Danio rerio: one gene and its partners. The protein of the gene in region 1 purifies or fractionates together with the protein of each later gene. This does not show direct contact. Links are inferred from orthologs where the notes say so. Each region holds a gene or a part of one and is shown in the gene's direction. Other genes may lie near its edges.

Region 1 (4,178 bases):
CGTAATGAACCACAAACTTATCCAGCATATGTTTTACGCAGTAGATACCCTTTCAGCCGCAACCTATCACTGGGAATACTCTCATTCACAGACATACACTATGGCCAATTTAGCTTATTCATTTCACCTGTACCAAATGTCTTTGGACTTGTGGGGGAAACTGGAGCACCCAGAGAGGAAACCCAGGCCAACACGTGGAGAACATGCAAACTCCACACAGAAATGCCAACTGACCTAGCTGAGGCTCAAACCAGTGACCTTCTTGCTGTGAAGCGATCGTATTTTAATAAATTTTAACATAAATTACATTAAATTGAGGTGAATGACAACAGAACATTATTTAATTTCATGAACGTTATCTAAAACCCGAAAGTAGACACTTGCATTTAGTGTTTTCTAATATGTATATAAATTAAATTTTTTTTGTTTATTTCATTTTTAATGCCGACACCAAAACTAGACATGTCAGACACATCAATTTATGATTTACTTCACTATCTATATGCCTTCTAGAGCTAATTTGTTTAGCATTGACTGCCATTATGACAAAACTGAATCTATTGTAAACGAAAACTACAATTATAAAGTGATGAATACAATGGGTAATGTTACCTGTCAAATATTGTGCTTCAGTGGCAGCACACCTTGTTTCCAAGGCACACCCAAACTTTGTTTCTATGCTCATGTGTTGCATAATTTAGTTTATATTTTACTACTTCCACTATTTTTGGTGCAACACGCAAGGTTAAAGGTTAAAGGCAAAAGCGCACGATGTTTAAACGCCATAAAAAATAACAGTCTGCTGTCAGTCTGCATGAAGTAAATCAGTCCAGCTCAAATACTAAACAAACTTAAATCCAACCAAAAGGCGGTATAATTCAATTTTATGAGGTAAAATATTGAAGTCTTAACTGTAGAAATGACCTTATCTATAACTAGCAATCTATATGATAGCAGACCTTAACCAATGACACATGCTTCAAGGCAAAAAAACAAGGTTACTAACACATGTAAGACGTCATTTATCTTTCATTATGACCCATGTATCGTTAATTGTACTCTATACTGAAATGAAAAATTAATCGTTGACACATACTGTACCTCGACTACTGTTTCCTCGTGCGGTCAGAGTCCAAGAAAAATGACAGCGCCGCTTAATATGACCCAGTGAACGCGCTATTTAGCCAATCGTAATACTGTCAAAGCTTAAATCCGTTTTCAAAAATAACTACACGCAATTCAACGAGGAAGACCAAACAATTAATCGCACGACTCACCCCACAGCGGAACCATTGACAGGAAGAAATCGTGAACAAATTCCCGTGACACCACCCGGAAGTGACGCGGACGTCAATAAGAAGCAGACACAAGCAACAGTGTGTAACGCAGCTCAGTTTATCGCTCTTTTAATCTTTTAAAACTAAAAATACAACATGTCTTCAGATTTTGAAGCGTACGAACAGGACTTTGGGACCCTCACCGCTGAAATAACCAACAAAATCGGACGAATACCCAAATTAGCCGGTGGTAAGTGGATGTTAGATGAGCTGCTTAGCCAAAACATTGGTGTTAGAGAGACATAAACAACTCGTTTAATCATTTATTTATGCAGCTTGTGTGTGTGGTCGGTGTATTATTTAGAAATGGCCCATATCATTTGGTAAAGAAGCTATAGTTCGGGATGGTCGTGGTGTCAGATGTCCAGTATCACATGAGTCTGAGGAGACAGGATTTAGGTGACATGGGTCTTGGATGTCATCTTGTTTTTCTTAGATTTATTAATGTTATATTGGAATTAAGGGTTTTTAAATAAATAAAAAAAGATTTATTTTTATATACCAACGTAGAAAAGAATACTATCGAGTGAGACTAAACTAATTCCTTCATGGTTTTTCAGTGTTGACAATTTAATTTACTGTTTGATTTTAAGCATTGTGATTGATTGGTTTATTGTTTCCTGCATAATGAATTATACTGACATAAAATGCCATAATGCACCAGTTATAGGAGGAGATAATAAAGCAAGTTTTGATAAAAATAAAATTTGTGTACACTTAGTCAGGAGGAGTCTTTAACTTTTTTCAGGCCAGAGCCTGCGAGATGAAGTGACATATTGCAGAGGTTTTTTTATTTTTAAATGCTGTGTGGGCCACCAAAACTTTGCCCTTATCTCTATGTTATACCTATTGTTAGGGTCAGGCTATTTCCAGCTCCAATTTATCATCTAGTAGACATTTACGTTAAACACAATAGCTGGAATGTACCTGTTATAATGTTACCTGTTATACATTTAATAGCTTTGGCTTCAAAATAAATACTTGAAAAGGACTGGGTGTTAAAAACAATATGGCAGAAAAATTTAATGTAAAGTTGGTAAAACTGCTATCAAGCTATCAAATATGGGAGATGGATAATTCACCTCACAGCCACACAATCTGTATGTACATCAGGTTTATTTTTAAATCTGACTTAAGTTATATATTGTTGTTCTCATAAGAACTATTAAAGACATGCAAAAAGACATTCAAGCTAAAACCATTCTAATAGTATGCAAAGCACAACAGCCGCCTGTTTTCCCATTTATTATATTTATAGATCATGGAAATTCAGGTTTAGTAAGTAAAAATCTGGGAATTTGGCTTTCAATGGGAACCCTGATGATTTATATTGATTAAATGTTATTTTAATTTTGCATTTTAATTGATCATTTATTATTTATTAACTTGTTTGTTAGAATTATTATTATTATTATTATTAAGCCTACATTTTCATGTTTGTATATTCAAAAATGCCTAACAAGATCTCAAACTGTTACAAATGCATATTCTTAAGATGCTGCTCACCATGCACACATTTTATAGTCATATTATTTCTCATTGTTATTAATTGTAATATTTATTATTATAATATTATTCTATAATATTTATTATAATATGTTTATTGTCATCAACAGTTATTGATGTTTAATTTTTTTGTGAGAATTATGCTTAATTTTTCTTAGAGTTTTTGTTTGAAAACATTTCATGAACAGCAATTATTTGACAATATATTTTTAAATACATTTTCTTTTCTGTTTAAGGTTACTATTGATTATTGTAAGGCCTCATTTGTGAATAAATGTTTTTTATACTGCATATACGCTTTTAAAAATGAAAAAGCATCTGAAACTCTTTTTGATATTAATAATAGGGAGAAGCATTATTTGATCACCAAATCAACATGCTAGAATAACTTCTAAAGGATCATGTGACTCTAAAGAGTGGATCAACAATGCTGAAATTTCACTTTGGCCTTCACGGAAATAGGTTACATTCAAAAATATTTTAGCATAGAAAACTGCTATTTTAATGTATAAGACTGTTTTTCAATATTAGTGAATTTACTGCATTTTCCAAATAAATGGAGCCTTGGAGAGCATATCAAAGACTGAAAATTCCAAATAGATGAAATATCAATATATTACAATGTGTTTTGGTTTTGTTTATATTTTGGTTTTTTTTTTCCCCATTTTCTCTAGTCTAAACCCAATCTGGTAGTCAAACAATTAATATTGGTGTCCCTGTAGTAACTTCATGGAGCCCCTAGAGGTCATGGATTCCTGATGTTTTTCTAACTTATTTGGACATCAGATGCTGTGTGTACTGCATAATATATAATGGATGTATGTGTTCATAGACTATAGGCAATTTCAATATCAATATCAATATGTCTGCACTAAACACAACTTCATCACAAATTTCTTACACTTAGGGTTGCAAGTTATTGTAAGTTGTCATCTGCATCTGTAAACCTACTGTCAATACACCTGTTGTTGTGTTGTGGTTTTATTGCTCAAGTCAGACAAACTTGTTTCCATGAGAACAATGTTATTATGAGATACAAATGATTGCAGATAAGTCAGAGCTCATTATTTAAAAATATCATCAACCTTGTATATATTTTGACTCATCTTTTTTGTCTTTTATAAATGCATCCAAAACAATATAGCCAATGTTAAACGTTAATATTTTCCTGAGTACTTTTACTATATATTCTACTATTTTGGTTATTTTTTACATTTGTTTATTAAAACACAGCTTTTTATTTTTCCAGTCTAGTTGGAAAAAGAACAGAACCAGTTATGATTAACAGTTTTATGTCCCTCTTTTTTTTGTAATTTTTTACTTTGGTCTCCTATT
Region 2 (4,262 bases), on another chromosome or scaffold:
ACAAGAATAATAACATCACTGCATTGAAGAAAAAATACAATAATAAAAAATAAGAAAGAAGACAGAGAGAAAAAAAAATACACAGCCTCAATCATTAAGAAAAAAAATTGTCATAAGCTTTAAGAAACTTCTTATTATTATAATTAATAAGCTTAAGAGATTCAATATTGTACGAAATTTCAACAAGGAAAGTATTAAAATAGGTATTGTTTTTAGAAACTTGTTTTTGTGTATAAAAAATTTACAGAGTAACACAAAAAACAAAATTACAATAAGATCGAGAGCATGATCATCATCCAAGAAATACAGAAATATATCTTTTATAGACAAATTTAAATCATGTTTAAAAATGGATGATAAATAAAAAATAATGTAATTCCAAAGATGTTTAATGTGAATGCAACTATAGAATAAGTGAAATAAAGTCTCTTCATGTATATTGCAGAAAGTACACAAATTAGATATATCAAAATAATTAGCAATTTGGGAATTTGTAGGATAAACATTATGCAAGATCTTAAAATGTATCTCTCCTATTTTGTTGGATATGCTGAATTTGTCAGGTAATAACCATAAAATTTACATCTTGGGGTGGTATATACAGAGGAATGTAACAATCGTCTGACATGTCTGTTGTCACATTTTTTATCAAAAAAAGACACTCCATCCAAAAAAAGTTCAGGCATAATTGTTTCCCTCTCATTAAAGTAAACAAAAGTCTTAAATAAATGCACATAACTTTGTGACAAACTCTTTAGAACACAGTTGAAGGATTAAGCTGGCAAAGAGAAGTTATACAATGTCATAAATTATTCATATTCCAAAATATTGCCATCATTTTAAAATAAGTCCAAAACAAAAACAATTCCTCTTTCAAACCACTTATCAATAAAAAGAGATTTCCCACGAGTTAAGACATTAGAGTTATTCCAAAGAATTTCTTTGTGTGGGGAAAAATTGTGCACGTAACACAATTTCCAAGCAAGTAAAGCTTGTTTGTGAAAATTACAGAGGGAAATTGGCAATTTAGAAGGGATTAAATTACATTTTAAAAGAAAGTCTAAGCCACCTAATTTATCAAATATAACATTGGGGATATGGTAGCAAATTGAATTATTACTACGGAGACATCTTTGTAGCCAATTAATTCTAAATGAGCTATGCCTAATTAAATCTTTGAAATTTAAAACCTCTAATCCACCCTCTGAGCGCCTATTAGATGAGACTGATTTTCTAATTTTATGGGTTTTATTCTTCCATATGAAGTTCAATAACACTTTATTTACATAATCAGCAATTTTGTCATTGATAAAAAGAGACATCGCAGGACAAACACAACGAGACATCGGTTACCGTATGAAGTGTGTCTATGAAAGGCCACCGTATGACGTCGTTCCTTAACAGGAAGTGGCACTGCGCAGTTTATGTTGATGTGATTTTGCTGTGAGTTTCTGCTAAAACGCTTTTTGCAAACTCGAAACAAAAGTACCGCAACATGTCAAAAGACCTTTGGTGAGTGCCTATACTATTATTATTTACTGTCATGTTAGATCTGCATGTCAGGACAGTACGTTAGACTTCAGACTTCAACACTATTAATTTAGTGCATCTGTAACTGACAGTCAGATCAGTTTAACTTTAACGCTAGACTAATTTATCTATTTTTTTTTCTACTCCCCAGGGCTCATTTTACCCTATACTTTAATTGATCAATTATGTTTTCGTTCACATATTGCTGTTTTTACGCGTCTTGTAAAGGTTGCCAAGCCGGTTAGCTGACATTTGATTGTCACATGATTGTGTTGATGACAACCTTGTGATTTAAATAACTGGAAACCCTTATCTCATGATCCCCATTGGAAGATTTTGATAAGTGTAATCTGTGTTTTGTTTACAGGTTAGAAAATTATGATGCAGCTTGTAGGCTGGCTCAAGAAATTGCAGAAAACATCCATGAAAGAAACAGACAGCAGAGGACTGGAGGAAACCCAGCCAAGGCAAGGCAGGATTTGATTGTTTACATCAGGGGTCTCAAACTCAATGGCGGGGGGCCATATTAGTGACTGACGATTCATATGAAGCACAAGAAAAAAGTGGAAATCTGATGTAATACATTCTTACACTCATACATTCTTCCCCAGTTTATCAAAACTCCTTTTAGTTTCTCGTTGTATATGTTGAAGGGGTTGTTTAAATTGTTATGAAAATACCACATTATATAAGCATAATAATCATAATTATGTCCCAATCAATTGTTGCTTTACCAGATGTTTAACCGATAGCGTAAAACATCAGAAAAGAGTTTGAATAACTTTGTTGATTGTACTGGCAATTGTTCTTCTCAATGTCCTTCTTTTTTTTTTAAACTACAAGAGAGGAAACGTTTTTATGTATGTATTCACGTTTACTTTAACATGTGCAATTTAGCCAGCAGTAAAATTTTACTAATGCACATTTTTTATACAATTCTTAATATGCATATTAGAAAAATATATTAAGGATACATTTTTGAATTGAATATTAGCAAAATAATCATATTTACACTACTAACATAACGTGTAAGCCTTGAAGAGGTGTTTGTAAAAATAGAGCACGTACAGACATATGTTTCAACTTTTACATTAGCCCCAGAAATAATCTGCATGTGCATTACTCTCAACTGCACACTGAGAGAAACAGAAAGTAACCTGCATATATTGTACAGTACTTTAAATGTCCTGTAGGTGGGGGTCAAAAACATAAGAGGCTATATGCAACTGCACAAAGATAGTGACTCTAAAAAAATATATTTTTTTGTTGGGCCGAATCTCATTATATTTTTCATGTCAATTTCGGGCTGAAAGAAAAAGGAGGAGGGTGGCCACAAATGGCCCACAGCCAGGCAGTTTGAGACCCCTGGTTTACATGAGATAGTTAACCAATCTTTTACACAATATAATAATCTCTCTTGTTGCTTTTCCATCCATGTAGATCAACATGACCCTGAGAGCATCATTACAGAAGCTAAAACAGAATATAGCACAACTCAGAGAGACTCTGAATCGAGCAGCTGTTCAACGCCATATGTATCCTTTCATTTACTTGACTGCACTTTCATTTCACAGAGGCCAAAGCGCCTTACAATTGAGGAATCATTCAGCGATTGAAGAAGCAATACAGTCAAGGAGTGCCAGTAATACAAAGGGACTGTTTGTGGCCAGAGAATTAAGTGCCAGCATTAGGAGGAGGGAGTTTATTTTTCTTTTTTTGAGAGAGAGTGAAAGGTGTTTTTACAGGTACTACATGTATAGTGTTTTTTGGAGTGATTATAAGAACCTGCTTTGTGCAAATGTGCAAAAACTGATGCAAGTGTTGTTTAAAGTGTCAGAGAGATGAAAGAGCATGTTTTCTACATGTGGTTTGTTAAGCCCACTCACCTGTGTGAGGCAAACTTCATGAATGCATAGTTTTTTTTTAAAGATATGAAGTGATTGTAAAAATGTGCCTTGAGCAAATGTGTAAACTGATGCAAGTGTTGTTTAAAGTGTCAGAGAGATGAAGGAGTGTGTTTTCTACTGGTGGTTTGTCAAGCCCACTCACCTGTGTGAGGCACACTTCATGAATGTATAGTGTTTTTTTTTAAGATATGGAGTGATTGAAAGAATGTGCCAGGTGCAAATGTGCAAACTGATGCAAGTGTTGTTTAAAGTGTCAGAGAGATGAAAGAGTGTGTTTTCTACATGTGGTTTGTTAGGCCCACTTACCTATGTGAGGCAAACTTTATGAATGCATAGTTTTTTTTAAAGATATGAAGTAATAGTAAGAATGTGCCTGGTGCAAATGTGCAAACTGATGCATGTGGTGTTTAAAGTGTCAGAGAGATGAAAGAGCGTGTTTTCTACAGGTGGTTTGTTAAGCCCACTTACCTGTGTGAGGCACACTTCATGAATGCATAGTTTTTTTTAAAGATATGAAGTGATTGTAAGAACGTGCCTGGTGCAAATGTGCAAACTGATTGAAGTGTCGGTTAGGGTTAGGTGTCAGAGAGATGAAAGACTGTGTTTTCTACAGGTGGTTTGTCAAGCCCATTCACTTGTATGAATCACACTCAGAATTGACTATGTTTTGGGGTTGTCCTGTAGTTCTGTGTAGTTGCTTCACAAAACCAAGAAAGTTGAATCCAGCAATTAGGATTATAATGACTTCTTTATGATTGTTTGTTTTGCAGTATCATTGAGAACTAAGATTTTCTAAATTAGTTTGAATCCTATATGCTGTTTTTT
Region 3 (3,568 bases), on another chromosome or scaffold:
ATTTGTATTATACTCGGGGCTTCTACGCTTCTTGAAAGTGCTTGAATTTCAGACATGAATTTAAGCCCTGGAAAGTACTTAAAAACAAACGGAGACACTTAAAAGTGATAAAATAACAACATAAACTATTAATTTAAGCAATCAAAACTGAATAAATAAACAAAGAATTTATTAATTTAAAATCTTAAATTGAAATCTTGTACTAGAACTATGACAAATAATGCACATTTGAACAATATTTCACAAACTTCATGAAAGAGTGAGGACCTTGTATGCTGTTAAATATTGTTTAATATGTCACATATTATGACATGTAATAGCCAATGAAGCGTGTAAATACCCAAATATTATTACTATTACGGGGGAGGGGAAAAGGCATTTTTGAGGAAAAATGTTGACAAGCTGCTTCTTTGTTTGGGTTTCTAGGTTGCAACACATGCTATGGACAGCACTTTACTGAAATACAGCGCAAAGGACTATTTCTTTAAAGCTGCTCTCTGTCACTTCTGTGTTGACATGCTGAACGCTAAGGTATGAATCACACTGTTTAGGGCAAGCTGACATACAGCGGTTGTGTTGTTTTCAATCCCTCATTATTTTTGTCTTTGATGTCACCCCTTGCAGCTTGCCCTTCAGAAATACGAAGAAATGTTTCCAGCCTTCTCAGATTCTCGTGAATGCAAACTCATGAAGGTAAAACTAAATCTCAAGTTCAAGTGCTTGTAAATGACAAACCTTTAATTTGCCCTAAGTGTGTATTTAGGATTTTTTAGTAGTTTCTTATTCACCATTCCACAATGTAAGGCCTTAAAGGGATAAATTGAAAGTTACTCACTATTTACTCAGCCTAAACACCTTAAAAAGAAAATTATATAAAACCTTGACTTTTTCAAACTGCGAACCCATGCCTACCATAAAACAGCAGTAATATATATATATATATAATTTTTTTTTTAAATGGTTCCATTTTAAACATTTATCATAAATTATACATTGTATAATCATCATTATACTATGACTTGGCTAATTACCCGACTTCAACTGTATATAGAAAAACCCATACGCTTACTCGTATGCATCCCGGGATTAATAAATCCACTGTTTTATCAGAAAGAGTGAGATCAGTGGGTTATCTGCATATCCATGATGCAAATAGAAGTTTTTGTGTCTGTAAAGGGATCTTTATCATCCTGATGAGATTAAAAAAATAGTCAAAACATGAGTGATTAGATGACAGTACTGCTTCATTTTTACAAGTGGTCTGATCTTCACTTTCTTTGATTGTCTTTGTATTTTGGGGGGTGTTGGGGAACCAACTGGTCTGTCAGTTGAAGAAGACCCCAAAGTCAAATATTTGATCAAAGAAAGTTTACTGGAGATAGTTTGCAGTTTTATCTGCAGGAGCCAGCTTCAACACTCAGATCAACAACAATTCTACCCATCACTAACTGCGTCATACATATAGGAGTTTTAACCTGATTGGTTGAAGCACAGATAAACTTATAAAATGTCCAAATGTGTGCGTACAGTTCAGAACAATATCTTCAATGATTACATTGGCGTCAAGCCTACAAAGATCAGACACAACAGGAGGATGTTTCTCACAACTCGCGCACGCACACACACACACACACATGCATACACAAATAATACTTCTCTACTTCAAGGATGTCTTGCTCTCTAGCAGGCATCTTATCAGAATGGTACAATAAACATCTTTCCACTGATGGCTAACTAAGCATGAAGAATCTTAAAATAATTTATTCTCTAACACAGTAAAATTGACATCTAGCGACAGCTGTTCAAGTAGCATCAAACATCCAGGCCTCTTTGATGTGCCTGAAGGTCCTGAGGAAACAAATCGTTTGGCATACAGAAAAAGCAATGGCACGGATATCATACCAGTGTTACTTTTGAAGAGGGAGAACACTAATGTCATTATATAATCTAGGCCCTTAAACATTCAAATTTTATTAATAAGTGGGGTTTATTTATAAACTAACTTCGAGAGGATCACATGCTTATTATTGAACACAGCTGGTCATGCATTAGCCAATCCATGATTCACCAATCAGACATTTCTTTAGTCTCTATAAAAACCCTAAGTAACATAACACAGCCATCTTCATTTTACAGAATCCCCCCTTCCACCCCTACTCCTCCTTTCTTAGATCGGCAGCACAGTGGCCCAATAGTTGGCACTGTCGCCTCACAGCAAGAACGTCAATGGTCCTTACTTAGCCAGTCAACATTTCTGTGTGGAGTTTACATGTTCTCTCTGTGCTCCTAGATAGACATGTCATAGACATGCTCCTAGTAAGTAGTTTTTTCTTGAGAGCAATTTCATCTGTTGATTAGTTATCACAGTTTTCAAGATCTACCTGAGCTCAAACTCCCCTCTCGCCTTGCAATGGGAGGGAGCCCTGGGCTCGAGGATCTTATGAGCTTAAGGCTCTCTCTTGGGACAGCATGCCAAACATGCTTAATAATCAATCATCAGCTAAGTGTGAACTCTTGAATCATAAACAGATACAAAAGGACAGGTGTTACTCGGGGTTCTGCCGGTTTCACCAAGTTAAATTTAAGACTTTTTAAGACATTTTTAAGACCATTAAGAATGAAATTTAAGACTCAAGGGCTAAAAGTTAAGGATTTTTTTAATGGCCCAGATGGAAAAGATTTTTATTTGCCTCATCAAAAAAAAAAAAAAAAAAAAGAAATTTATAATTAAATACATTTAACAATACAATTATATATTAATAATAAAAAATATATGAAGAGTTCGGATGCAAAATCTTCTAAGTGAGTTTTTTTTCTAAAATTATTTTTTTTTTTCAGGCTTATATTGTATTAGTTGAGTAATTTCCCTTTTATGTCAATTAATATGTTATTTAGATTGCCTTTAATGCAAAATTAGTAAACATAAATATGGGAGTATCCGAAAAATGTTTCTTCTCTTGACTTGTTTGCCGTTCTGTCCTTTCACTTTAGTTAAAGCTCCAGACAAAGTGTCAGACAATTACATTCCTAAGAGAATGCATGCATCACCCTGTGTAAATTTGTAAACCTCAGCATAAAAAAGTATAGGATGCAGTAAAAAAAAAAAAAAAAACTAAAAGATCTTGTTTAGGGAATCAAATTTCCCAATATTCTGGATCGCAGCTTCGAGTTCATTTGTTAAACCCTCTGACCATGCTACTACATTTATTTATTTAGCAGATGCCTTTATCCAAAGGGACTAAAAAATAAAAAAAATTTCTTGCTAAAAACAACTTTGAGCCAAGAAAAAACAAACACTTTTATTTAATTTTATAGATTGTGATTGGTTGTCCAAAAAGATGGAGAATAAAGAGCAAGGGTCTTAAACAGTGTTTGTTTTAAGGCTGGGACACGGCAAGTTGACAGTCGGCCATTGAGTGCTGTCGGGCTGTCAGCATGTAGAATCGGCGTTGGTGGAAGAGATGGGTCAGATTGATTATTCAGCAATGAATCAGACCACGAGATTAAAACTGATAATTAGCAATCAGCTCCTGCATTCTTAAATCGTATTAAGTTTCCTTATGAATTC
Region 4 (4,345 bases), on another chromosome or scaffold:
ATGAATAATGGATGAAGAACTGTGTTTCAGTACACAGACGAGCTGCAGATACAAGGATGAAGAGAAAGCAGTGGGAAACCCATAGTTTTGACCCCTATTATTTTAGATTATCTGTAATAAAATGTATAATTGTATTAATATTAATACACACTTATTACATAAGTGTTTAATATACTTAAATAAAGTATATGTTTAAATAAATAATAAATAAAAAATACCGGTGGCACCATAATACACACAATGGTATCAGATTGTAGCTCATTCATTCATACATTTTCATTCATTTTTCTTCAGCTTAGTCACTTTATTAATCAGTGGTCACCACAGAGGAATGAACCACCAACTTATCCAGCATATGTTTTGGAACAGCTGTTGGCATTAGAGCTGCAACCCAGTACTGGGAACCCTCCATACACACTCATTCACACACATTCATTCATTTTCTTTTTGGCTTAGTCCCTTTATTAATCTGTGGTCGCCACAGCGACTGAATCACCAACTTTTCCAGCATATGTTTTACACAGCGGATGCATTTCCAGCTGCAACCCAGTACTGGGAAACATCCATACAATCTTACATTCACACACATACACTACAAACAATTTAGTTTATGAAATTCACCTAGCGCATGCCTTTGGACTTGTGGGGGAAACCGGAGTACCCGGAGGAAACCCACACGGCATGGAGAACATGTAAACTGCACACAGAAATGTCAACTGGCCCAGCAGGGACTCGAACCAGTGACCTTCTTGCTGTGAGGCAACAGAGCTAACCACTGAGCCACCATGTCGCCTGTTACATTTTTATGTTACTATACAATTATTGTACACATACGTAAAAGGCTACACACACATATATAAATGTTAGGAGGACTATATGTATGTGTGCTTTTACAATAGTTCAAAATATCTAAGATCTGAAAACATGGATTTTATTTTTTATTTACTGTGAATTTTCTGTGAATAATAATATTCTTATTTTATGTTAATTTTGGTGGCAAATCAAAAGGTAATCATTTTGAAGTCGGTGTATAATGATTCAGTTAAATTTAATTTTGAGGACGTAGGTTCAATATTTTAGTATGTTATAAATTCCTTTATTCATTTTCCTTCGACTTAGTCCCCTTATTTATTAGAGGTCACCACAGTGGAATGAACCACCAACTATACCAGCATATGTTTAACGCATAAACTATAAATTAGCTTTCAATTACGTAAACATTTACATATAGTAGATTTATTATAATAATAATGGTAAGCTACTTTACATAATATTGCCTGGATGATGAATAGACAGAATGCTGACTACCAACATATATTTAAAGCATTATCTAAATTAAACTAATATCTCGTAAGTATATTTTATATTTAGGCATTTTGCATATTAGTGGCAACGCTTTGTTCTTTTACTTCAACAAACCAAAACAACCCGTGCTGCTGTTTATCTGCCCAGGCGCGTGCGTGTGTCTAGACGCTCGAGGACCCGGATGTGATTCCGCCGGGCAATGGCGGCTGAGCGGATCCGGGCTCTGTCCCGCATGTAAACAACACGTAAAGCGCTCTCCTTTGTCCAAGTAAAGCTAAACCAGCCGCGGTCAGGAGCATGAGATTATCGCACCCCACTCATCGACTCATCTGAGCAGCAAAATGTCGATGGAAGATCCGTTTTTCGTGGTGAAAGGGTGAGTTTCAGGGCTTAGATCGGAGACTAGGGGCGAATATAAGATGTCGAATTAGACACTTTCAGGAATCAGATTGGAGTAACGTTAATTATTTTAAACTTTACGTACATTAGCTATTTGACTTGTCCTACGTTGATACTCGGCACCATTTAAAGCAGCTGTTTCGGTAAGATCGTTATCGTGTTGTCATGGCAACCATAATTATCGATTTTTTTCTCAAACGCTTCATAGCGTTAATCGATATTTGTGTCGTCTTCCCTTTAAAGTGGTATTGTTTTGGGTTGCCAGACATCTGCGTTTTGCTATAAGTTAGGATTTACAAATATGTAACGTTACCATGTTTGTCACTTTTTGGGGATACATATTATGGTATGCTTTTGGATAGTAACGTAATAGCATAGTTTTTTCCATGTCAGACATCCAAAAGCATTGCATTATCATAGTAAAACCTTTCAATTCAGTTCATCTTTTATTTCTATAGCGCTTTTACAATCTAGATTGTGTCAAAGCAGCTTCACATAGAAGATTATAGTAAATTGAAACAGTGTCAGCTTATTTTTGTGTTGAAGTTCAGTTTAGTTCAGTCCATTCAGTTCAGTGTGGTTTAATTTTTACTGCTGAGAGTTTAAACACTGAAAAGCAAATCCATCGATGCGCAGCTCCACTGCTCCCAAACCATGCAAGCCAGTGGCAAGGGAAAAAAACTTCACCAATTGGCGAAAGTGAAGAATTAAAAAAACTTGAGCGAAACCAGGCTCAGTTGAGCACGACCGTTTCTCCTGTGGCCAAACGTCTTGTGCAGAACTGCAGTCTAGGCGCTGTAATAAAGTGCGTGCATAATTATTGTTTAATTGTACCGATTTCACACTTCTTAAGTGTTGATTGTATGATATTGGAAAAATCTAACATTGCGATATTTAGTTATTCTGCGATATAATTATCTGATTCAGATGATTCTGCAGAAAAGTGCATCTGCAATAATTATAATAAACTATCCACAAGCATAGATCAAACAATAAAAAAAGATAAATAAACAGTGTTTTATCATTTTTACGTCTAACGTTAACTTACAAATGGTAAAATTTTTTATGCCTCTGGTTTTAAAATCCTACTGTCCAAAAAAACATGAAAATGATAGATTATACTACAGACTCAACATTGCACAACCTGCGATGTGACTATTGCGAATGACTACATTGCGATATTGATGCTGAAACGATATATTGTGCAGCCCTAGTATTGATATTGTGTATAATCATTAATAAGTTACGTGTAATTTTTTAACAAGCACTGGGGGTGTAAGATAATTATATTTAGATGTGCATATTTATGAAGCAGGTTTATTTTGACATGTCAAAACGAAGGGACCAAAAGGAGGTGTAACATTGGGGAGGAAAAAAAAAAAAAAAAATATATATATATATATATATATATATATATATATATATATATATATATATATATATATATATATATATATGTATGTATGTATGTATGTATGTATATATATATATATATATATATATATATATATATATATATATATATATATATATATATATATATATATATATATATTTTCCCAATGTTACACCTCCTTTTTGGGCCCTTCGTTTTGTATATATATTAAACGACCAAAAGAAGATCACAGCATTAATAAACCTGTAAAATTAAGGTATTACTATTGAACGACAAATACTAACTAGGGCAGGAGGAAGACAGATACATAAGCTGTCCTTAAAAGAAATCAGTATTGTATAACACTTCAGCTATTGGTTTTTATAAAGTGGGGATTTATATTATTGGGGGTTATCTATTGTAGTTTCTCATCAAATATTCTGACCAATCAAATACTCTCTAGTGTCTGACATACCCACCCCCCTCAAGATGCTTTTCATTTGCTTTATCCATTGATGCATCTTTTTTGAGATCAACCACTCTCACTGGCAGAGCTGTGATTAAAAACGAAACACTCTTGGATGTTTTTTATAAAGGAGAGGGGCTACTCTATGTCCCACCCTGTCTTCATGAATTTTATTTCAGATTACAACGAAGAAATCAAATTCAAAATGCTAATTTTAAAGCACTTCACAGCACCTTTAATTTATCACATTTTTTATAGGATCGCATCCATTATTTTTGACTTTTTAGTGAGAGTTGCATCTTTTTTATGGGCTATTTTCCTGCTTAATGATTATACACATCAGACAGTCTATTAATTTTCAATTTAATAATAATTATTCTAAATAATAATACTAATAACACTTATTAATAATAAATTACAAGTAAAATATTTTAGTATTTGGCTAAGAACGATGTATTTGAGAACTGGTCAAATTCTCTTTGGAAAAAAACAATTATGATCATATGTTTATAATTTTCATAATTATCTGCACACTCTGTAGTATTCTTGTCTACATTGTAGTAGGTCAATTAACCTTGAGGCTTAATTGAATGTATTTGTCTTAGAGAGGTGCAGAAGGCTGTAAACACAGCTCAAGGTCTTCATCAGAGATGGATAGAGCTGCTACAGGACGCGGGTGGAGCCAGCAAGGAGGAAGTGGACTGGACCACCAACGAATTACGAAACAGTTTGAGGTCCATTGAATGGGACTTGGAGGACTTGGATGAGACTATCAATATCCTTTTAGCTTAGTCGTCATT

What was found.
Region 2: the proteins of vti1a (region 1) and stx8 purify together in Homo sapiens (affinity purification with mass spectrometry; 3 studies listed by BioGRID and IntAct, with this or other methods). This does not show direct contact. The link is inferred for Danio rerio from reciprocal best matches to the Homo sapiens genes VTI1A and STX8.
Region 3: the proteins of vti1a (region 1) and napab purify together in Homo sapiens (affinity purification with mass spectrometry; 3 studies listed by BioGRID and IntAct, with this or other methods). This does not show direct contact. The link is inferred for Danio rerio from reciprocal best matches to the Homo sapiens genes VTI1A and NAPA.
Region 4: the proteins of vti1a (region 1) and stx6 purify together in Homo sapiens (affinity purification with mass spectrometry; 3 studies listed by BioGRID and IntAct, counting the BioPlex papers as one, with this or other methods). This does not show direct contact. The link is inferred for Danio rerio from reciprocal best matches to the Homo sapiens genes VTI1A and STX6.

Annotation. Positions count from the first base shown.
Region 1 is NC_133187.1:33,314,057-33,318,234, reverse strand, and holds the start of vti1a (vesicle transport through interaction with t-SNAREs homolog 1A), read left to right. Parts: upstream 1-1,332; 5' UTR 1,333-1,433; coding exon 1,434-1,527; intron 1,528-4,178. UniProt on the Homo sapiens protein: V-SNARE that mediates vesicle transport pathways through interactions with t-SNAREs on the target membrane. These interactions are proposed to mediate aspects of the specificity of vesicle trafficking and to promote fusion of the lipid bilayers.
Region 2 is NC_133181.1:25,761,303-25,765,564, forward strand, and holds the start of stx8 (syntaxin-8), read left to right. Parts: upstream 1-1,443; 5' UTR 1,444-1,495; coding exon 1,496-1,512; intron 1,513-1,897; coding exon 1,898-1,997; intron 1,998-2,970; coding exon 2,971-3,065; intron 3,066-4,262. UniProt on the Homo sapiens protein: Vesicle trafficking protein that functions in the early secretory pathway, possibly by mediating retrograde transport from cis-Golgi membranes to the ER.
Region 3 is NC_133193.1:47,646,273-47,649,840, forward strand, and holds part of napab (N-ethylmaleimide-sensitive factor attachment protein, alpha b), read left to right. Parts: intron 1-426; coding exon 427-531; intron 532-624; coding exon 625-693; intron 694-3,568. UniProt on the Homo sapiens protein: Required for vesicular transport between the endoplasmic reticulum and the Golgi apparatus. Together with GNA12 promotes CDH5 localization to plasma membrane.
Region 4 is NC_133197.1:16,196,100-16,200,444, reverse strand, and holds the start of stx6 (syntaxin-6), read left to right. Parts: upstream 1-1,499; 5' UTR 1,500-1,646; coding exon 1,647-1,681; intron 1,682-4,150; coding exon 4,151-4,320; intron 4,321-4,345. UniProt on the Homo sapiens protein: SNARE promoting movement of transport vesicles to target membranes. Targets endosomes to the trans-Golgi network, and may therefore function in retrograde trafficking.